3 linked regions of the Pelodiscus sinensis genome follow. The protein of the gene in region 3 interacts with the protein of the main gene of each other region in a biochemical or structural test. Links are inferred from orthologs where the notes say so. Each region holds a gene or a part of one and is shown on either strand. Other genes may lie near its edges.

Region 1 (7,439 bases), on a different chromosome or scaffold from region 3:
ATTATTAATTATTATTATTATTATTTTTAGTAGTAGTAGTATGCTGAAAACAAAGGACTTATCAATTGGAAATGATAGAGGAGGAGAAAGACCTCTGGGTATGTCTACACTACCACCCTAGTTCGAACTAGGGTGGTTAATGTAGGCAACCGGAGTTGCAAATGAAGCCTGGGATTTGAATTTCCTGGGCTTCATTTGCATATTGCCGGGCGCCGCCATTTTTAAATGTCCACTAGTTCGGACTCCGTGCCCGCGGCTACACGCAGCACGAACTAGGTAGTTCGGATTAGGCTTCCTATTCCAAACTACCGGTACACCTCGTTTAATAAGAACAAATGCAAAGTACTCCACTTAGGAAGGAACAATTTGTTTCGAGAATGGAAAGTGACTGTGTAGGAAGGAGTACTGCAGAAAGGGATGGAGGGGTCATAGTGGACCACAAGATAAATATGCGTCAACAATGTGACACTGTTGCAAAAAAAGCAAACATGATTCTGGGATGCATTAACAGGAGTATTGTGAGCAAGACACAAGAAGTGATTCGTCCGCTCTACTCTGTGCTGGTTAGGCCTCAGTTGGAGTATTGAGTCCAGTTTTGGGCACCACATTTCAAGAAAGATGTGGAGAAATTGGAGAAGGTCCAGAGAAGAGCTACAAAAATGATTAAAGGTCTAGAAAATATGAGCTATGAGGCAAGGCTGAAAGAATTGGATTTTAGTTTGGAAAGAGAAGACTGAGATGGGACATGATAGTAGTTTTCAGGTATCTAAAAGGGTGTCACAAGGTGCAGGTGGGGCGGGGGAGTGGGAGGGGAATTGTTCTCCTTGGCCTCTGATGGTAGGACAAGAAGCCATGGGTTTAAACTGCAGGTTGGACATTAGGAAAAATTTCCTAACTGTCAAGGAGGTTAAACACTGGAATAAATTGCCCAGGGAGGTTGTGGAATCTCCATCACTGGAGATATTCAAGAGCAGTTTAGACAGACAGCTATCAGCAATTATATAGACCAGGGCTACTCAACACATGGCCCGTGGGCCACATAGACCCGTGGCCTGTTTGTTTGCGGCCTGCGGGTGGGAGCCAAAACGAAAAAGTAGTCAATATAATGGTCTTCTGTTGAGATGCATTTTAGTAGTTAAATTCCTGCACTGTCATTGCTCATTGAAAGTGCTGTCATATGGGTGGAAATTGGGTAAATATTGCATTTTATTGATATCAGCAGAACTGACTTAAATGGGGCCTGTGTGTTGTGTAGTCTAGTTTAATGTTTGTATTCCAGGTCATTCACATGACTTCTCTATTTGTGCCTTTTGCTAATTATCTCTATTAGTTGGTGGCTACTGATTTTTTTTAACCAAAATGTGTTTGAGTTTCAAAAAAGAAGAAGTGACTGTGGTCAGGGCTACGCTCTCCAGCGCTGAGACAGGCTTTGTAACCATTTGCGCACAGGGAGGTCTGTGGCTAAACAGTTTGTATGTGCTGACAAGACAGGAAGCCCAGCTAGGCCCAGGAAGTGGGGAAGAGGAAGCTGAATGCTATTTCAATGTAAAATTAAAAAATTCTGCACTATATTTAAAGGAGACATTGCTTGTTTAGATACAAAATTGTTCAGACCACAAAACCTCCCCACAATATGGTCCCAGATGCCTAAGATCAGCCACCCGAGAGCCAGTATTTCACCTCAGAATGCGTTACCTGCATTTCTTGTTGCTGCTTGAAAAAAGAATCAACCTTTACATAAAACCGAGCAATAGAGAATGAAAGGCTCCAACAGGACTGTTGGGCCAGCAGCTCTCCTGCCTTGCACATGTCTTGTGCCATCCTCTGGCACAGATCAATCATCCCAAACAGGTGCATCTCAATATTATTTCCTGAGCCTGCACAGCTTCTCCCCGCCCCTCCACTCCTTGGCTACAGCTGACTGTTCCCTAGGACAGAGGACTGCCCTCTCATGCTGTTGCTCTGTGCCATCTCCTTCTGGCTCTTCCTCCGCCTCCTCATCTTCAGGTGTGGAACCAGGTATATGAAAAAAAATCAGACAAAGGCCACTAGCCACCAACCTGAACCTCTCCCCCTCCCCCACTGCCCAGCAGTGGCTGAGAAACCAGCAACCTGTGGGAGGCAAATGACTTAAATTAAAAATAGAGGTGGGAGTGGGAGGGTGACTGTACAAATGAACAAACCAGAGACTGTCCAGGTGTATTACTCTGAGCTTATAGCTGCCACATGAGACTTGGGGCAGAGACAGGAGTCTGAAGTGTGAGAGATCAGAGACAGACAAAACAGGGAGAATTTTTCTGTATGACCTGCACAAGGCGGCTCACATGTGAGCATTAAGGAACTAATGATGGGCTAACACAGGGCTCCTTGGCATGACTGTTTCTGCAGCCCAGCCAAAGCCTCAGCTCAGCATAGGGTATGCAAGATAAATCAGACTCCTGAAAGGAGTAGAGTTGTCTGTAAAGGCTGAAAGCCACAGGTTTAGCAAGAGGTCTTTTTAACCAGTTATAGCAGTCTGACTACCTTTATACTGACCTGCCAGGACCCATGCTAGAATGGTGAGTTTCTTTCCAAACCATTGCCTGTACACCCCCACAAGATGAGAATAGTCCCTACACTAAGACTGGGCAGCATCACAGTGACTTTAATTTGTAACTAGCCCTAATCGTCCACAAGCATAAACACCTGCTTGCATGCAGACCTGAAAATTGGTTAGCCTGATTCAGATGAGGCGTTTGTTGTTTGTACCCAGAAACATTACAACAGCTCCCAGAGAGCAAAGCCTGCATTTGGGGAGTAACTGCCAAGAGGTGCAGAGTAGCTTTTGGCCTTATCAGGGTAGAATTTCTCATGCCCATCTCTAGGTGTGCTAGCCATGGAACCTCAACATTTTTGGTAACTTGCCTTTGTAAATATTGCTTTTGCGCCGTCACTTACCTTAAAGGAGGTGCGTCACACTTGCTCCTTTCTGCCTGAGAACCTGGTTGCTGCGCACTGTGACAGTTCCTGTTTCAATGCAAGCTAACTGCACTTCCTGCAGCCTAGCCCTCTGCGCCGCGTCTGAGACGAGTAAGTCAGTGTCACAGACAGAGACTCCAGGAAGACACCGTGACACACAAAGCATTCTGGAGCCACAGACTCAACCCTATATTCTCTCAGGGTATGTCTACACAGCGAAGTTATTTCGAAATAACAGCCTTTATTTCTAAATACCTTTCTTAGCGTCTACACAGCCAAACTGCTACTTCGAAATAAATTTGAAATAGTGGAGCACTTATTTTGAATTTGGTAAACCTCATTCTACGAGGAATAACGTCAAATTCGAAATAGCTATTTCAAAATAAGTGCTGTGTAGACACTTATTTTGAAATAGGGGGCCTCCAGCCTTCCTAGGGTGCCCTGGTGGCCACTCCAGCCTCAACCAAGAACACTTTTCTCCCTCCCCCACTCTCCAGAGCCCTTAAAGGGGTTGACTCTGGCCACAGTGCCTGTGCCAGCTCCAAGCCAGCCAGCCTAGAGCCAGCAGTCACTGTCCCGACCCAGTGGCCCCAAAACATGAGCCAGCAAGCCACTGGCAGCCAGCCCTCCACTGCTCCCCAGGAGCAGACTGCTGGCTCCTAGGAGCCTGCCAGGGCCTGGAGAAGGTGGGCACCTTCCTGGTCCAGGGTGGAGATCATGGACCTTATTCAGGTTTGGGGGGATGCCCCCGATGTCCATGATCTCTGCACTAAACAGAGGAACATGGCCGTCTATGGCAGGATAGCTGCCAGCCTGGCCACCAAAGGCCACATGCGAACCCAGGAGCAGGTTAGTATGACAATCAAGTTGGTCCAACGAGACCCCCAACCCTGAGCCCTGAACTTCTCCTCCCCCTTCTTTCCCTTGCTTCCCCCTCCCACCTCCCAGGTTTCCCCTCCCCTCTCCCCCTCTCTGTTCTCCCCCCCCCCCCCGCTTCTTTTCCCCAGTCGCACTAGAGTTTCATTCCCTCCCACCCAGTTTTGTTAAATAAAGAGTTTGTGTTCATGAAAATACGTGTATTTTATTTGACATCAGGAAGGGAGGGTAGGGAGGGGTAAGGGGAAGGACGTGAGGGAAGATAATGGGCTGCAGAGAGAAGACATCGGTAACCTGCCCAGCTGGTTTCAGCCAGGGAGAACAATGGATGAAGAGAAGGGCCCAGGAGACCCTTTTTACCAAGACAGAAGACAATGAACTGGGGAGGGGCTGCTTTAGGGGAATATCGGAGGCTCAGCTGGAAGAAGAAGGTTTCTGAATGGGACAGTGACAGAACAGGTACAGCTCACCTGGTTACAAGGGAGACTCAGATGTGATAGGCTGAAGGCCCAGGCCTACAGGCCTGAGGGAGCCTTTGCTGCATTCACACCTCAATAAACCCTCCTGTGTTATACTGGTTGAGAGTTACTCTGGTCTGAAGAACAGGGTTGCACTATTCCTTCTGGGAGTGGAGGCTCCAGGGGTTCCCAGGGAGTAGAACCCCCAAGGGGGCTCATGGCAGAGACAGGCATGCTGAAAGGCGGAGGGGTGGATCCTCCAGGAGAGGGTGGACTCCCCGAGAAGGGGTTGTCACACTAGAGGAGGGGGGGAACCCACCCGGGGACCGACGGGCCAAGCGTGGGCTTGATCTGTGAGCTGTGACAGCGAGTGTCCCATTGGCTCAGCCATGAGTACATTCAGTGCACTCTCCTGGCTGACATAGCAGCAATAATGAAAGCCATTTTCAGGAATAAACAATACGTTGAACACTCATGGACAAACTTAAAAGACATAGATCACACTATTGGATGTACAGTTATATAAGCCTCTGATGTGGTGGCTTACGTGGTTAGGTCCTGTGATGATGCCCCTTATATAGACGTGTGGGAAGAGCTGGCATTGGAGTTTATTGCAGGGATGGGTTCCTGGGTAAGTATGTCTGAGGTGTGCTGAGTGGTTGCTGGAAAGAATGGTGTTTCAGGTTAGGAGGTTGTCTGGAGGCGAGGATTGGCCTGTTCCCCATCACACGACATAACCACATAAGTCACCACATCAGAGGCTCATACAAATGCCCATCCAGTAATGTGATCTATGCCATCAAGTGCCGGCAAATGCCCCTCTGCCATGTACATTGGCCAAACTGGACAGTCTCTATGAAAAAGGATTAATGGACACAAATCAGGTTTTCAAAATAGTAACAAACAGAAACCTGTTGGGGAACATTTTAACTTGCCCGGGTACTCTCTAATGGCTCTAAAGGTGAGTATACAATTTCAAACATCAGCTGGAGAGAGAAACTGCAGAACTTGCCTTCATATGCAAATTTGACACATTTGACAATGGTCTGAACAAACTTTAACTGGATGGGCTGTTATATTCAACACCCAAATGACATCAAAAGCTAAGTGTCAAGCACTTACAGCCCACACTATTAGCCTCATTTAGCACAGACACCCTAATTGACAAGATTTCCCCCCCCCCCCATCTCCTCTTTTTCTGCTATTTATTTGTACCTCTGGACCCCTTGCTCTATTCATCTGAAGAAGCGGGTTGTACCCATGAACGCTCATGATACCATCTACATTTTTTGTTAGTCTCTAAGATGCTGCAGGATCGTTTGTTTTAAAAAAAAAATTTGTTACAGACTAACATGGCTACTCCTCTGAGGCTGCGTCTAGACTGGCATGATTTTGCGCAAAAGTGGTTGCTTTTGCGCAAAATCTTGCAGCCTGTCTACATTGGCCGCAAGTATTTGCGCAAGAACCCTGACTTCGTAATGTACAAAATGAGTGGTTCTTGCACAAATACTCTGATGCTCCCACTCAGGGATAAGCCCTCTTGCACAAGTATTCATGTGCAAGAGGGCCAGTGTAGACAGCAACGTTAATTTCTTGCTCAAGAAAGTCCGATGGCTAAAATGGCCACTGGAGCTTTCTTGTGCAAGAGAGCGTCTATACTGGCACAGATGCTTTTGCGCAAAAGCAAATCTTTTGCGCAAAGGCACATGCCAGTATAGATGCTCTCTTGCGAAAATAGTTTTAACAGAAAAACGTTTCCGTTAAAAGTATTTGCGCAAAATCATGCCAGTCTAGACGCAGCCTGAGACTTTTACTCATGGACAAGTTCAAACAGCGATTTTACCAATATGGTTAAGATAAAATTGAAGGGACAGGGTCGCTAATAGGAGGATGCACATATCACAGACCTTTCAGAAACTTTTAAACTGAAGCTTGAACAAGCAGCACTCTGCAATCCACTGAGCCTGATATGCAAAGGCAAAACATTTGTTCTCAGCTTTTCCAGGCAACTGTAACTCTTCCACAGGCCAATTTGTCTTTGTTCCCCAAGTTTTGCCTCACTTAAAAACAACTTGCTTACAAAAATCAGACATCAAAATATCAAAGTATTGATGTGCTATTACTGAAAAAATTGCTTACATTCTCATTTTTCATATAATTATAAAATAAAATCAATTAATATATACATATTGTACTTATATTTTAATGTGATACTAAAGCCTGTTTTTAACTTGTGAGCGCTGTCATTTAGTATCTGGAGAGCAATGGCTGCTGGCCATGAAGTTCATGTTGTTTGCGGAGCAGGACAATTTTTTTTAATCCCTCTCCTGTCCCACAGTATCCACGCCCTCCCCCTGCACTGTTGTTGAATTTTTTTATTTAGCGTCCACTATTATAGCATTGGGTCCTCTAGTGCTGATGGGAGCCCAGTCCCATTGGAGGATTTTATGGCCTGTTCTAATACTAGGCAAATCTCTAAGGATATGGCTACATAGCAGGACTAAATCCAAAATAAGCTACACAACTTGAGCTATGTCAATTGCATAGCTTAAGTCAAAAAAGCTTATTTTGGCTTTTGGCACTGTCTACACAGCAGGAAGTCCGAGTTAGAGGCACTTTTCCTCTGACTTTCGTTATTCTTAGTAAAAGGAGGGTTAGAGGATTCAGAGTAAGAACTCCTCCAGCTTGCCATTATTTTGACATTATGTTGAAGCTGCTGTGTGCTGTGTAAATGCAGACTATGTTATTTTGTAATAGTCACTATTTCGAAATAATGCTGCTGTGTAGACATAGCCTAGATGAGTTGATGTATCCTCTGGAAAACCTTTGCGTACCCTCATGGTTGAGAATCACTGATCTGAATCATAGAATCATAGAACTGGAAGGGACCTCGAGAGGTCATCGAGTCCAGCCCCCCGCCCTCAAGGCAGGACCAAGCTCCGTCTACACCATCCCTGACAGATGTCTATCTAACCTGTTCTTAAATATCTCCAGAGAGGGAGATTCCACCACCTCCCTTGGCAATTTATTCCAATATTTGACCACCCTGACAGTTAGGAATTTTTCCTAATGTCCAATCTAACCATCCCTTGCTGCACTTTAAGCCCATTATTCCTTGTCCTGTCCTCAGAAACCAAGAGGAACAAA
Region 2 (7,233 bases), on a different chromosome or scaffold from region 3:
TACCGCCCCCATCCCATCCCCCACCCCCAGTGACCTCACACTGCTGCAGGTACCGCCCCCATCCCATCCCCTCACTCCCAGTGACCTCACACTGCTGCAGGTACCACCCCATCCCATCCCTCTGCCCCCAGTGACCTCACACTGCTGCAGGTACCGCCCCCATCCCATCCCCCACCCACAGTGACCTCACACTGCTGCAGGTACCGCCCCCATCCCATCCCCCACCCCCAGTGACCTCACACTGCTGCAGGTACCGCCCCCATCCCATCCCCCACCCCCAGTGACCTCACACTGCTGCAGGTACCGCCCCATCCCATCCCCCACCCCCAGTGACCTCACACTGCTGCAGGTACCGCCCCATCCCATCCCCTCACTCCCAGTGACCTCACACTGCTGCAGGTACCACCCCATCCCATCCCCCACCCCAGTGACCTCACACTGCTGCAGGTACCGCCCCCATCCCATCCCCCACCCCCAGTGACCTCACACTGCTGCAGGTACCACCCCATCCCATCCCCCACCCCCAGTGACCTCACACTGCTGCAGGTACCGCCCCCATCCCATCCCCCACCCCCAGTGACCTCACACTGCTGCAGGTACCACCCCCATCACATCCCCCACCCCCAGTGACCTCACACTGCTGCAGGTACCACCCCATCCCATCCCCCACCCCAGTGACCTCACACTGCTGCAGGTACCGCCCCCATCCCATCCCCCACCCCCAGTGACCTCACACTGCTGCAGGTACCACCCCATCCCATCCCCCACCCCAGTGACCTCACACTGCTGCAGGTACCACCCCATCCCATCCCTCTGCCTCCAGTGACCTCACACTGCTGCAGGTACCGCCCCCATCCCATCCCCCACCCCCAGTGACCTCACACTGCTGCAGGTACCGCCCCCATCCCATCCCCTCACTCCCAGTGACCTCACACTGCTGCAGGTACCACCCCATCCCATCCCCCACCCCAGTGACCTCACACTGCTGCAGGTACCGCCCCCATCCCATCCCCCACCCCCAGTGACCTCACACTGCTGCAGGTACCACCCCATCCCATCCCCCACCCCCAGTGACCTCACACTGCTGCAGGTACCGCCCCATCCCATCCCCCACCCCCAGTGACCTCACACTGCTGCAGGTACCACCCCATCCCATCCCTCTGCCTCCAGTATGGTCTTTTACCCATCAGTGGCACAGAAACAAAATTCTTTGTTTTACTGGGAAGACATATATTTCTTTCATCTCTAGTGCAACCCTCATATTTATTTTCATCCTTCATCTTTGCTATGCCACAGCTGGAGAAGTCTGCAAAACTGAATAAATTTGTGAAGACCATCCCCCTGCCTGAAGCTGATGAAAGGGTGAAGCCCAGGACCGTGTGCAGTGTGGCCGGCTGGGGCCGCACCATCGCTAACGATAATTCATCTGCTGCCAACGCGCTGCGGGAGGTGGACGTGGAGGTGCTGGAGGATGACGAGTGCTCAGATGATGATGACTACGACCGGGCGACCATGCTGTGTGCGGGGCACCCAGAGAAGTGCAGAGATTCTGCAAAGGTAAATCTGCCCCTGGCTTGAATCTCTGAGGGAGCGTGTCAGTGATCGGGCTGCGACAAGAGGGCTTATGAGGGGCCAAGGAGGGGTTGGGGGGCATCAGGGCGTCATTAATCCAGTCAGCAGGGGGAAATGACTCACTGTGGCCCGGTTTGTTCTGCAGGGCGACTCCGGCAGCCCCCTGGTGTGCGGGGGTAAGGCCCAGGGCATCGTCTCCTGGGGGAACGACACACCTCCGGGCGTGTACACGAGAGTCCCTGCTTTCATCGGTTGGATCAACAATACAATGAGACTTCTGCAGCCCTGAGCCCTGCCAGGGGTCACTGCACAGCCTGGCTCTGCCTTTCTCCTGCCTTGGAGAGGCCAGGACGTCAGGCCTGCTCGGCAGAGGGGCTGACTGCCCCACAGCCCAGCCTGAGTTTCGTCCCTCTTGCAAGGCAAAGTCCCCTCCCCAAACCACTCTTCTGCTTTGGTAAGATCCAGGTTCAGGGCCGGGTTCTGCCCCTTGCCTAGGGAGCAGCTAGGTCATATTAGTGAGGGGCCAAACCCGGAGGTTGTTCTCCCTGGTGTGAGCCGGGCGAGTGACACTTGTGGGAGCTCCTCCCAGTAACATCCTGCTGGAACCGCCCCCGGCCCTGTTCTTTCTGGGCCTTCCCCACGTGCTGGCCCCCGTTCCGCACAGATTAGCCCCTTCTAAACACACCTGGGCCCGGAGGCAGCCAGGCTGGCGGGAGGGCGACTCCGGGATGTCTGCGCTGATCTGCTGCAGATCAAACATTGGTCGTGATCCTCTGCTGCCCAGTCCCCTGCCCGGCTGCATTTCGCTCAGCTCCCCTGCCCTACAGCTTGCTCCACAGCCAGCCAGTAATAAAGTCAAGTAGCAGAAGATGTCTCCTGACTGACGCATCCATCCAGAGCTTTGCAATGCAGGGCAGCTGCTGGACCTGCCCAGGCCAGGAGAGAATGCACCTTATGGGGAGGCCGGGCTGGTGGTTCACGCTCTTGGCTGGGCCCCAGCACACCTGGGTTCAGTGATTTCACACACAAGGTGGATCTGGGGTGGACACAAAGGTTACTCAGCGAAGAAAAGCTGCTTGTGCCATTGCTTGTCCTGACTCCCGAGACCGATGCATCTGGACCAGAAAGAGGAAGGGTCTGAAGCAATTCTAGATGCAAGAATCTAACCTTCCAATTCCTACCTACCCCTCTGCCTGTCCAAACCTCCGTCCCTAGATACCTAGCTACCTAATCTCAAGCTAAATATGTGTCTGACCAATTATCTGTCTGTCTAACTTCATAGAATCCCAGGGCTGGAAGAGACCTCAGGAGTCACCGAGTCCAGCCCCCTGCCCGAAGCAGGACCAGCCCAACTCAATCAGCCCAGCCAGGGCTTGGTCAAGATGGGACTTAAACACCTCTAGGGATGGAGATTCCACCCCCTCCCTAGGGAATCCATCCCAGCGCTTCCTCGACCACCCTAAGTTTTTCCTAATATTCCACCTAGACCTCCCCCACTGCAACGTGAACCCATTGCTCCTGGTTCTGCCACCCAGCCCCACTGAGAAGAGCCTCTCACCAGCCTCTTCGGAACCACCTGCAGGGAGTTGAAGGCTGCTCCCAAATCCCCTCTCGCTCTTCTCTTCTGCAGACTAAACAAACCCAAATCCCTCAGCCTCTCCTCGTAGGTCATGTGCTCCCACCCCCCAGTCATTTTGGTCGCCCCCCGCTGGACCCTCTCCAATGCGTCCACATCCTTTCCCAGAACTGGACACAATACTCCAGATGTGGCCTCCCCAGAGCTGAATAAAGGGGAATAATCACTTCTCTAGACCTGCTGGCAACGCTCCTCCTAATGCACCCCAATACGCCTTTAGCCTGCTTGGCAGATGCAGCATCTCTTTTCCCCAGCTCCATCATCTCCGCCTCCGCTGCTCTTTCATTGTACTGGTCTGACACAGCTCCCCACCCAAAGATTGTGGCTTCATCAGCCACCAGAGCAAAAGCAGGGCTGTTACTGCTGGGTTTCAGAGCAGGGACAGTTTGTGTGTGAGGTGAATAGCCCAGTCTGGTCACCATGGGCCGTATCAGCCGGAGGAATGGAACCCGAAAAATGTGGGGATCTCACACTTGCGGGAATTCTGCGCAGAATCCCTGTGCCCCGCATTGTTTGTTTTCCCTGCAGAAAACACATTTCTACCCAGGAAGAGCTGCAGTTTCACCTTCCGCCCACCAGGGCCTTTGTGGCACCAGAGCAGATGTGCCCAGCTGTGAACCAGTCCCACAGCAGCCCTGGACTCTGTTATATACAGCCCCATTGGGGTCTTCTCCCCACAGTGGTGCATCATCCAAGCAGTTCTGCACAGACCCCGATAGGAAGTAGCCAGCCTTCTGTGCATGACTGCAGGTGACGCTCGGCCTGTCCTTCCCCCGAGCGCATGTGGTCAGCTGTGGTTGGAAACTGAGACGTCTGAGCTCTCCATGTAGCTGAGCGTGTGAGCGGCCCTGAGGTTTCCTGCTCTTCGATCTCCCCCAAGCTGAGTCTATAAAGCCTGAGGCAGATGCACCGTCCCTGCACTGCTTCTCAACATGCAGATCCAGGTCTTGCTCCTGCTCTCCAGGGCCTTTCTCCTACTCTCTGGGGCTTGGGCAGGTGAGTACAGCTGAGATCGGGGGCCCCAGGACTTTGGGGTCAATTGAATGCTCACAGGGATTGATTTTTGGGGTGTTGCCTAGGGGCCTGAGAGTGACCGTCTCCCTATTTTCAGTCCCCCTGTGATTAATTTTATAGAAAGCGTGCCTTGTGAGGAATCACCTGAAAACTCATAATTTGCTGATCATTATTGTCCTGGATAAATAGCTGTGGTTGGTAAAGTGATAAGATTATACTGTCTGATGCCACTCGGCCATGTTTCAAGTCTAGGGAGCAGCCACAAACCAGTTCCCCGGAGACAAAAGACTGGCTGAGGCCTCAGATAGCTGGGAAGAAAATCAAATGTTTCAGTTGCTATTCTTGAGCAAGGAAGATGGAGTGGGTGAAAAATTGACATCCTGACAATAAAACAGTAGGGGTTCCCATCCACACAGACCTTCTTCCTCCTAAACTGCCATTGAAGATGGTTTCCAAAGAAGAGAAAGCTAGAAGAAGAGGGAGCAGACACCTGCAGTGATCTCTTCCTGTCTCTCTCCATGTGGCATGCACACCAAAAACACAAAGGAAGCAGCATTAGGTGGATGAGGGGCCGGTGGAGGGATCCTGATGGGAGGGAATTGAACCAGTAAAACGGTGGGAACAGGGATTGGAGAAACCTCACAAGGCAGCCATGTACGAACGTTAACACCATCCTGTAAAGGGATGAACATAAAAATGAAGATTACATCGGGGGAAAGTGTGTGTGGAGGGAGGGGGCTAATCCGGCAGCCTTAGCCAAAGCACATGTAATGCAGGAACAGGGAAGGCATCTCCAAGCTGCCCTAAGGGGAAGGTCCAGGTCCTAGTCCTCACCCCGAACCAGCCAATCCCCTTTAAGGGGCTGCCTGGCCTGATTAGAGGGGAGCTCGGACCCCAAAGCCAGTAACACCAGGCTGTTGGATGATGGACCCCCTGCAAGTGCGTTTGGCACTAGTTCTGCACCCAGCCAGGGCAGCCCTACGGGGTGTCTAGTGTGGGGCAGAGCTGAGAAGGGGGGCAGAACTCGGATCCACCAAGGGATCCACAGGGAACAGGATGACACTGGGGGGACTTGACCTGAGTATGGGCCGAGTGGTCAAGGATGGTGATGCTGGTACGGATCTGGTTTCCCCCCAGGTGAGATCATCGGGGGGCATGAAGCCAAGCCCCACTCCAGGCCCTACATGGCCTATCTGCAATCACAAGAAGGAGCCAATTACAGTGGCTGTGGCGGGTTCCTGGTGGCGGAGAACTTTGTGCTGACGGCCGCTCACTGCCAGGGAGAGTAAGTGCCTCTGGGCTGGGACATGGGGGCGGGTGGGGTCAGCGGGGGAGGGGAACCTGGAAATTCTGGTGCCAGCATGGGGGTCAGGGAAGGGACAGAGGGTGGCCAGGCTGGGGGAGCTGAGCCCAGGGGTCTGACCTGCTCAGGGGTGTCGACAAGTCTTTAGAGGGCTCTGCAACCCACTGCTCAGCCCCAGCGCTGGGTACATCAATGGGAATGTGGACAGGGAGCCCAGCTTGGGTCTGCTCCATTGCCCAGCATGGGGCAGGGAAGGGTCACAGCCTCAGGGCAGCTCTGTAGGGTGCTGGGCTGAGGGTCTGGGCATGGACCCCTTCCTGGATCGATCTGGGAGAGGAGACTAGACTGGGGGAGCTTTGACCACAAGTCTGAAGAGGAGGGAAGGAAACTGAGTCCCGGCCTGAGACCCACAGACTGCCCTGTCCCCGCAAGAGCGGAATTTAAACGCCAAAAACATGTCCTTCCCCTAACAATCCACACATGTCACTCTCGGCTTTCACAGCAGCATCACTGTCGTCCTGGGAGCCCACAACATCGAGCAACGGGAACCGAGCCAGCAAGTGATCCCCGTGCGCCGGCAGATCCCCCACCCACAGTACAACAGGGAGACTTTAAAAAATGACATCATGCTGCTGCAGGTACCGCCCCCATCCCATCCCCCACCCCCAGTGACCTCACACTGCCGCAGGTACCACCCCCATCCCATCCCCCACCCCCAGTGACCTCACACTGCTGCAGGTACCACCCCCATCCCATCCCCCACCCCCAGTGACCTCACACTGCTTCAGGTACCGCCCCCATCCCATCCCCCACCCCCAGTGACCTCACACTGCCGCAGGTACCACCCCCATCCCATCCCCCACCCCCAGTGACCTCACACTGCTGCAGGTACCACCCCCATCCCATCCCCCACCCCCAGTGACCTCACACTGCTGCAGGTACCGCCCCCATCCCACCCCCCACCCCCAGTGACCTCACACTGATGCAGGTACCACCCCATCCCATCCCCCACCCCCAGTGACCTCACACTGCTGCAGGTACCGCCCCCATCCCATCCCCCGCCCCCAGTGACCTCACACTGCTGCAGGTACCACCCCCATCCCATCCCCCACCCCCAGTGACCTCACACTGCTGCAGGTACCGCCCCCATCCCATCCCCCACCCCCAGTGACCTCACACTGCTGCAGGTACCATCCCATCCCCCACCCCCAGTGACCTCACACTGCTGCAGGTACTGCCCCATCCCTTCCCCCATCCCCAGTGACCTCACACTGCTGCAGGTACTGCCCCATCCCATCCCCCTCCCCCAGTGACCTCACACTGCTGCAGGTACCGCCCCCATCCCATCCCCCACCCCCAGTGACCTCACACTGCTGCAGGTACCGCCCCCATCCCATCCCCCACCCCCAGTGACCTCACACTGCTGCAGGTACCACCCCTCCCATCCCCCAACCCCAGTGACCTCACACTGCTGCAGGTACCACCCCCATCCCATCTCCCACCCCCAGTGACCTCACACTGCTGCAGGTACCTCCCCATCCCATCCCTCACCCCCCAGTGACCTCACACTGCTGCAGGTACCGCCCCATCCCATCCCTCACCCCCCAGTGACCTCACACTGCTGCAGGTACCTCCCCCATCCCATCCCCCACCCCCAGTGACCTCACACTGCTGCAGGTACCGCCCCCATCCCATCCCCCACCCCCAG
Region 3 (7,486 bases):
GTATTACTATATGTTAGTAGAGAGAGGGGAGAGGAGCTTGTTGGCTCCAGGCTCCCTGTGGGGCTTCTACTTTTGAAACATACAAGAGCTCTGTGGGGTTTTCACTTTTGAACTGTAACAAAAGGCAGGATTCTTGCTACAGTTCAATGGCAGAGGTGCCCTTATCAACTAATCGAATAGTTGATGGAAATCCAATTGAGTAATTGATTAGTTCAGGGTGGCCAACCCCATTACAGACAAAGAGCCAAAACAGTGGTGGATACAATGGAAAGAGCAAAGGGAAAGAAGTTGCTGAGCAAAACAAACAAACAAACAAACAAAAAAAGCTGCCTCTTTACCAGCCATGTGTGACCCAAGCTTCCGTCGGCCGGAAAGTTGAGCAAAAAAACCAACAAAAAACAAAAAACCCACAAACCAACCAAACAAAAATGCTGCCTCTTTAAGAGCTGCGTGTGCAGGAACAGTAATTTTTCCTTTGAAGAACCACGGGTTGGCCACCCCTGGATTAGTTCATTAATCTAATTTTAACTTCTGTAGGCCACACAATGCATCTTCCCTTGCACTTGCTCCCAACCCCTGGCTAGACACCCTATTCCCAAGCCTGCTCCTGCACACTACCTACCATCCAGACCTCAAACCCTCACCACCTCCTGCACCTCACCTCCCACCCAGATCCTACACCCCCAATTCCTCTCACTGGCAGCTGTCCCATACACTGAACCCCTCATTTTTTGGCCCAACCCCAGAGCCTGGGGGGAGGGTCCACAAAATCCACTAACTCTGGAACCTCAAAAGAGCAAATCTGGTCTCTGGGAAGCACTGAACATTCAGTCCTCCCTGGCCCTCCCCCTTCCCCAATGGGGCTGGAGCACCAGAGGAATGAAGTATCTCAGTTGGGGGCCACATCAGTGAGGGTTGGGGGATTTTTTGAGGGTTTTTTTTTCTACTCACTTGTGTGGTCCCCAACTGATTTTTCTGTGGGCCGGTGACAATCAATACAAAAAAGGTTTCCTACCCCTGCCATAAAGTAAACATGGGAACCTTTTGTGTTGGACATAAATTAATATTTAACTTTATTTAAAATGACGTTTGGTAAACTACCATGATAAAGTTCAAGTGCTTAATCTGTTTAATAATTTAAATTAATATTTCCTTTCTTACTGGTTAAATTAAACAATTCTCCCTAGCTTCAGCACTAGCAAAATGACTTGTGTGTAATTAACGAGTTTCCATTAGCAATTGGTGATCCATGGAAAGGTTTGCATTGACCTAAGTGGGCCACAAGCCAAAAAGTTTGAAAACCACTGCTATATGTGGACAGTAAAACACCAGAAATATTAGACCTTTAGTTTAATTTATCATTACTATTTCCAAACAAAACCTTAAAGTCAATTCAATTAGTCACTTAGATTTCAACATTTTCCTACAGCACTGTGAAGGAATAGGAAAGACAGAAACGAACACTAGAAAACTGAAAACGGTTGGACTAGTCCAGTGTTTCTCAACCAGTATGAGTACCTTCAGTGGGAGAGAAGTCTGGGGGGTACATCAACACAACTGAAATTTGGAGAAAAATGAATTTTTGTTTTAAGTTTTACAGCATTTTATTATTTTTGTACTTTTTACAATCAAAAATTTAATCACCCGCCTGGCTACGATTAAGTTGTTTAAACAAATATGTTACAATTGTAGAAAAAAAGCGTGTGTCTCTGAAAACTGTAGGTACTGGGGGTACTTATATATATTTTTAAAGGGGGGTATTTTATAAAAAAAGGTTGAGAAACACTGTGGCTACGTCTAGACTGGCATGATTTTCCGCAAATGCTTTTAACGGAAAAGTTTTCCATTAAAAGCATTTGTGGAAAAGAGCGTCTAGATTGGCACGGACGCTTTTCTGCTAAAGCACTTTTTGCGGAAAAGCGTCCGTGCCAATCTAGACGTGCTTTTGCGCAAAAAAGCCCCAATCGCCATTTTCACAATCAGGGCTTTTCTGTGCAAAACTAATCTCAGCTGTCTACACTGGCCCTTTTGCACAAAAGGACTTTTGCCCAAACAGGAGCAGCATAGTATTTCCGCAAGAAGCACTGTTTTCTTATATGAGATCGTCAGTGTTCTTGCGGAAATTCAAGTGGCCAGTGTAGACAGCTGGCAAGTTGCTGGAAAAACTTGCCAGTCTAGACACAGCCTGTGACTCTAGTTGCAGATAAGAGGAAAAGGAAAGCCTCTTGCATTATATTATAAACATTATATTCTTTAATTCCTATTACATCCATATATTAACTTTTACTGTTCCTTACTCTCATCTTTGACACTGTAATGCAGTATGGGTCCGGGCTTGTCTACATTTGGAAATTTCCTGGAATTATTTCAGAACCAGCCCACATGAAATAAGCTAAACTGAAAGGAGCTCCCGGGCTAGTGCCTCGCACAGAAATAACTGACTAATTTTTTCGCGGGAGGTGACTGGCCCAAGCGCACCCCGTTAGCGCATCCTCTCGCTCTGCACAGGCACAGGACACTTCGCACCCCAGAAGCGGCCGCATTTCCGCGGCGGGGGGGGGGGCGGGGGCGGGGGGCTGGGGAAAGGCGCGCGCGAGGAGAGGGGGGGCAGATGCCTCGGGGCAGTGACCCCGGATTGTCTATTGCTCCCACGCACGGGGGCGAGGCGGCGAGGACGAGCCGAGGCCCCTTTTCTGAGCGGGCCGCGGAGTCCCGGGCTCGCTCCGAGCCCGCCCTGGGGAGCGGCGCCGCCCCTGCTCTTTGTTCGCCCCAAGGCGGCGGGGCAGGAACTGCCCGGGCCAAGCGGGGCCGCGCCGCCATGCGAGCAGCCAGGCTCCGGCAACGCGCCCGCCCCCGGCACGGGGACCCCCCCGCTCGATCGCTGCCCGCCGCCCCGCGCCCCACACGGCCGCCGACCTGCCTCCGCCGGCTGCCGCTTCCCCTCGGATCCAGACGCACGCGCGCTGCGGGCGGGTGTCGGTTGGACTCAACTGCGCGCTCAGCTCCGCCCCGGCCCCGCCCAGCTGGGGGAGGGGGCGCGGGGCGGCGGCTGTTTCAAAGGGCGGCCAGGGCGCGCTGAGCTGGCGAGCGTGTCTCTCCCCGCACCCCCAGGTGAGTCGGGCTCGCGCTGTGAAGGGGGAGCGGGGGCTGGTCGCAGGGCGAGGCGGGCAGCCCTTGTGCGGGTGGGGAGGGAAATAGGCGCCGAAATCAGAGCCGGGGTGGGGCTATGAAAGGGGGAGACAAGTGGCCAGACCGGAGCCGCGGAAGTGACCCCGCGCAGAGCGCGGGCTGTTGGGGTTGGGTTGGGGGGGGGGGGTAGAGAAAGGGAAGCCCTGCGCCGCCTCCCGCCAGCTGTGCTCTCCACGCTGCAGAGTAGGCTCTGCAGCTTTTTATTTTCAAAGTTGAATTGCTGCGCTGCCAGGGGAGGAGACTGGCTTTAGTGAAATATTTCACACCCGTCCTCTGAAGGCTCTCCAGGAGTATCAAACCTATCTTTGACGTGACATTAATTCCTTGTCAGTTTACCCAAGGGAAACACGCACAGCTTAATAGCAGCTCAGAAAATTTATTTTAGTTGGTGCTCTGATGGCCTCAGTAGTACCCTGTTCCCTGGAAACCACACTTACAGTGGACTACATCTGTTTTTGCTCTTGTGAAACTAGGATTTAGGTCAGAGGCAATGTTCCCTTCACTTTTCCCACTTGTCTACAGAATAAACTTTTTGTTATCTATACAGAGGCATGTGCAGATGAGTGCCACCAGAAGAAGCACATGCTGTCAGCTGTGGGCACTCTGCTAATTAGCTGGGTGATATTTGAATTTCTCCTGGGTGGCCACCTGAGTGCATGGCTTAGCACAGCAATGGAGACAGACTCACCTAGGCTAGTGAATGCATCGTGTGTGTAGCCCTCCTTCATCTTACTGGGCCATAAGGTTGTTACAAACACTGTCTCCTGGGTTAGGGTAGTTTTGCCAACTCCGCTTGCATACCTAGAATTTGCAGCAGGTACTGTTTGAATCACAGCAGCACTTTGAATGCAGATGGACCACACTGTTTTTACGGTCAATGTTGAGTGAAATGAGCACACACCTCACTTCCTGTGTCACATTAGTAATACCGGTAGGAAAAAACACTGTGAATGGAAGCTAGCAGCATCTAGCAATCCTCTGCATGAACGGTGGTAAACAAAATGTCTTGTAGGCTACCCATATAACCTCAATTTATCACATCTGTGCTGGAGGTTGCCCACCAGTGGCTTAGAGGGAACAGTGGTCTGGGTATATAGCAAACAGAAGGTACCTACATCTGGGCTACGTCTAGACTGGCATGATTTTCCGCAAATGCTTTTAACGGAAAAGTTTTTCCATTAAAAGCATTTGCGGAAAAGAGCATCTAAATTGGCACGGACGCTTTTCCGCAAAAGCACTTTCTGTGGAAAAGCGTCCGTGCCAATCTAGACACGGTTTTGCGCAAGAAAGCCCCGATCGCCATTTTTGCCAACGGGGCTTTTTTGCGCAAAACAGTTTTTAGCTGTCTACACTGGCCCTCATGCACAAAAACATTTCCGGAAAAGGGCTTTTGCCTGAACGGGAACGTCAAAGCATTTGCGCAAGAAGCACTGATTTCAGACAGTAGAACGTCAGTGTTTTTGCGCAAAATCAAGAAGCCAGTGTAGCCAACTGGCAAGCTTTTGCGCAAAAGTGGCTGCTTTTGTGGAAAAACTTGCCAGTCTAGACGCAGCCTTGGTGTAAAATTAAAAACTAAGCCTATTCCATACTAACCACCCTGACTTGAAAATGTCACCGCCTCTTTTCCCTTCCTTGTGAGTTTCTTGAGACATGACCTTCACCATTCCTCACTAAGTTCTGGAGGTTACTGTATTCTATGCCAGCAGCCTGCTAATAGCCCCCATACACAAGGTTCTCTTCTTGCTATCTTTATTGACAGCCTATAGAATTTGGTAATCAAAGCATGATTGATCTCTAAATGTACACATGTATCTCTCTCTTCATATATCAGTGACAACTCTGCCAATATGTGCCTACTTAATCCTTCAATCATTTAATACAGTGACATTGAACCCAGTTAATGGCAGTTGTATGGCAAGTTGATAAATACTGGAATTCAAATCTGAGACTCCATGTAAACAATGGCACGGTCTTGTAAACCTGCCTCGTGTTTTCTTACAAATGCAGCTATGCTACTGCACCGTTTCTAGTAGCTATTGTGAGTACTGGAGGATAAACTGCCATCTAAAGGTCTAGAGGAGGCAGAAAGGTAAGTGGGATATCTGACAGGGATCTCTACCTCTGTTAAAGTTACTACTGAGGACAAGAACGGAGAAAGAGGGGAAAGGGTAGAAAAATTGTGACAGTCATCTAACAGAACTTGCTATCCTTATTTCCTGGCCAGTAATCAAATACTGATAGGTACCCTGACAATCAAATGGACAAGGATGATGAGTGAGGCTTCAATTTATTTGAAGAGGTCATGGCAGTCCAAGTAAAGCCACAGCATCTTTATTTGTATAAATTATAGGGCTACAGGAAGTGGAGATGGGATTGTGTGCCCCTGCCCTGCAGCTAGGGCTGGCTGGAACCAGGACCCTGCAGCCCAACTTGTGGCTCTAATTGGGGACTGCAGCTTGGGCCATGTCCTTCAGTCTGGCATTTGTCAAGGGCTGCACTAGGAAAATGGGGGTAGTATGCACCTGTGGCAGCCCACTAATTTTTACCTCTCTCCCCCCTCCACGTGTTCCTAGCTGTGGCTGAGGTTTGGGGAGGGGGACGACTGCTACCTGGGCTACTCATCCATGTCCTGCAGCTGCTGGAGTCGGGGCTAAATCTTTAAATATATGGTGCTTGAGTGAAATGAGGCTCATGGCAGGGTTCTCGGCCTGTCAGTCCCCCTTTTCTCCCCTGGGACTCCATTCCTCCCCCTTACCTAGCCCTGCCCCCAGATTATTTTTGAGTGTCACAGCTCTCTGAATTTTTGTATTTTGCTTGTCACTTTTAGTAAAATTAACAATGATAAAATCTTAGCCTTAGTGATGGTTAGCAAATTCTGACAGACCATGTGGTATGTCATTGTGTTACCAGTAGCAAATTCTGACAGGATCTAACTTTACAACACTATCATGGTACAAACTTAAAAAACAACAAACAGTCTAGTAGCACTTTAAAGACTAACAAAACATGTAGATGGTATCATGAGCTTTCGTGGGCACAGCCCACTTCTTCAGATGACTGGCGTGTTGGATATCCAGAACCAACGTCATAGTACAGTTAGTCTTCCCCTTCTGCTTCACACAGTGGACCAGTCACTCCTATCACAATCCACTGCATTAATCAGTTCTTCTGGGAGCTATGAGAATTTCCCTGGTGGCAGTGTGTTTCTTTCTTTACCATAAAATGCAAGTGTAAGGCTTTGTCTATGCTACACAGCCTTCAGTGGCATAGCTCTGTCACTAAAAGTCAGGCAGTATAGTCACTGATTGTTGGCACTTTTGCTGACAAGGTACCCCCAATGAGCAGTGTTCACATTGTTGACAGAAGAGTTCTCCTGCTGATACTGTTCACACTGACGCTTGCTGCAGCAAAACTTTTGTCTTTTGGGAGGGGGAGGAGAGGTTAGGACCACTGAATGACAAAAGTTTTGGTGCTCAATTGTCAGTACAGCTGGTCCCCCAACTTACCAACAAGTTACAGACCAAACACTTGGTCATAAGGTGAAGTGTTCATAAGTTGGACCCCATTCATTTACATGCAACCGTGCTGTTCGAAACTTGGGGACCGCCTTTATGACTGCTTAATGGGAGGTTTGGTCGTAAGTACAAACGGTCGTAAATCGACCATTTGTAACACGGGAACAGGCTGTAAAGACATAGGTTAAGACATGGGGATAAATCTAAGTGAAATAGGATTGATGAGCTGGATGTAGTGAGCTCTAATGTGGCATTCACCCATAGTCCAGTACTAATATTTTAAACACATGATTCTCCAGTGTAATGAGGTTCAGGGATATGTTGCTGAGAACTCTTTTCAGTAACAGATCAATGTTCTATTCTATAGGTCTCTTTAGCATCAGCCTCTTTGGTTATATCTGTGCTAATAAATCCCTCTAGGGCTGTTGCTACACTTCAAAGGTGAAAGTGCTGTATGGAGTTCAGGGTCAGCTGGGGACTCCCACACACTTTGAAATGCCACATGCAGCCTGGGGCCACCCTAGCTGGCCCCAGGCTTCATGCAGCATTTCAAAGGGGCAGTGCTGTGTGGAGCCCAGGTTCTGGCCCTAGGCTTCAAACAGCGCTGCTACTTTTAAGCACCCTCTGCTCTTCTCCCACTCCCTTTCTGTCAACTGTGGACAATAGGAGCTGCAAGTGACTGAACATGTGGATGTGTGAGTAAAAAAAAAACATCTGGCAATCCTCCAGAGGCTAACCCTGGTGAACCTCATCTGTCCTGTGGATTACTTATTATCCACCTC

Evidence for each region.
Region 1: of the proteins of CASP3 (region 3) and HCLS1, one has a biochemical effect on the other in vitro, tested with the Homo sapiens proteins (2 studies listed by BioGRID). The link is inferred for Pelodiscus sinensis from reciprocal best matches to the Homo sapiens genes CASP3 and HCLS1.
Region 2: of the proteins of CASP3 (region 3) and granzyme B-like, one has a biochemical effect on the other in vitro, tested with the Homo sapiens proteins (2 studies listed by BioGRID). The link is inferred for Pelodiscus sinensis from reciprocal best matches to the Homo sapiens genes CASP3 and GZMB.

What each region holds. Positions count from the first base shown.
Region 1 is NW_027466023.1:268,108-275,546, reverse strand, and holds the start of HCLS1 (hematopoietic lineage cell-specific protein), read right to left. Parts: upstream 3,094-7,439; 5' UTR 2,938-3,093; intron 1-2,937. UniProt on the Homo sapiens protein: Substrate of the antigen receptor-coupled tyrosine kinase. Plays a role in antigen receptor signaling for both clonal expansion and deletion in lymphoid cells. May also be involved in the regulation of gene expression.
Region 2 is NC_134740.1:2,433,239-2,440,471, reverse strand, and holds the start of granzyme B-like, read left to right. Parts: upstream 1-4,140; coding exon 4,141-4,204; intron 4,205-5,359; coding exon 5,360-5,507; intron 5,508-6,027; coding exon 6,028-6,163; intron 6,164-7,233. Other genes in the region: mast cell protease 1A-like, read left to right, coding at 1,297-1,557, 1,718-1,861. UniProt on the Homo sapiens protein: Abundant protease in the cytosolic granules of cytotoxic T-cells and NK-cells which activates caspase-independent pyroptosis when delivered into the target cell through the immunological synapse. It cleaves after Asp.
Region 3 is NC_134715.1:76,149,290-76,156,775, forward strand, and holds the start of CASP3 (caspase-3), read right to left. Parts: upstream 3,046-7,486; 5' UTR 2,921-3,045; exon of another isoform or gene 2,917-2,920; intron 1-2,916. UniProt on the Homo sapiens protein: Thiol protease that acts as a major effector caspase involved in the execution phase of apoptosis. Following cleavage and activation by initiator caspases (CASP8, CASP9 and/or CASP10), mediates execution of apoptosis by catalyzing cleavage of many proteins.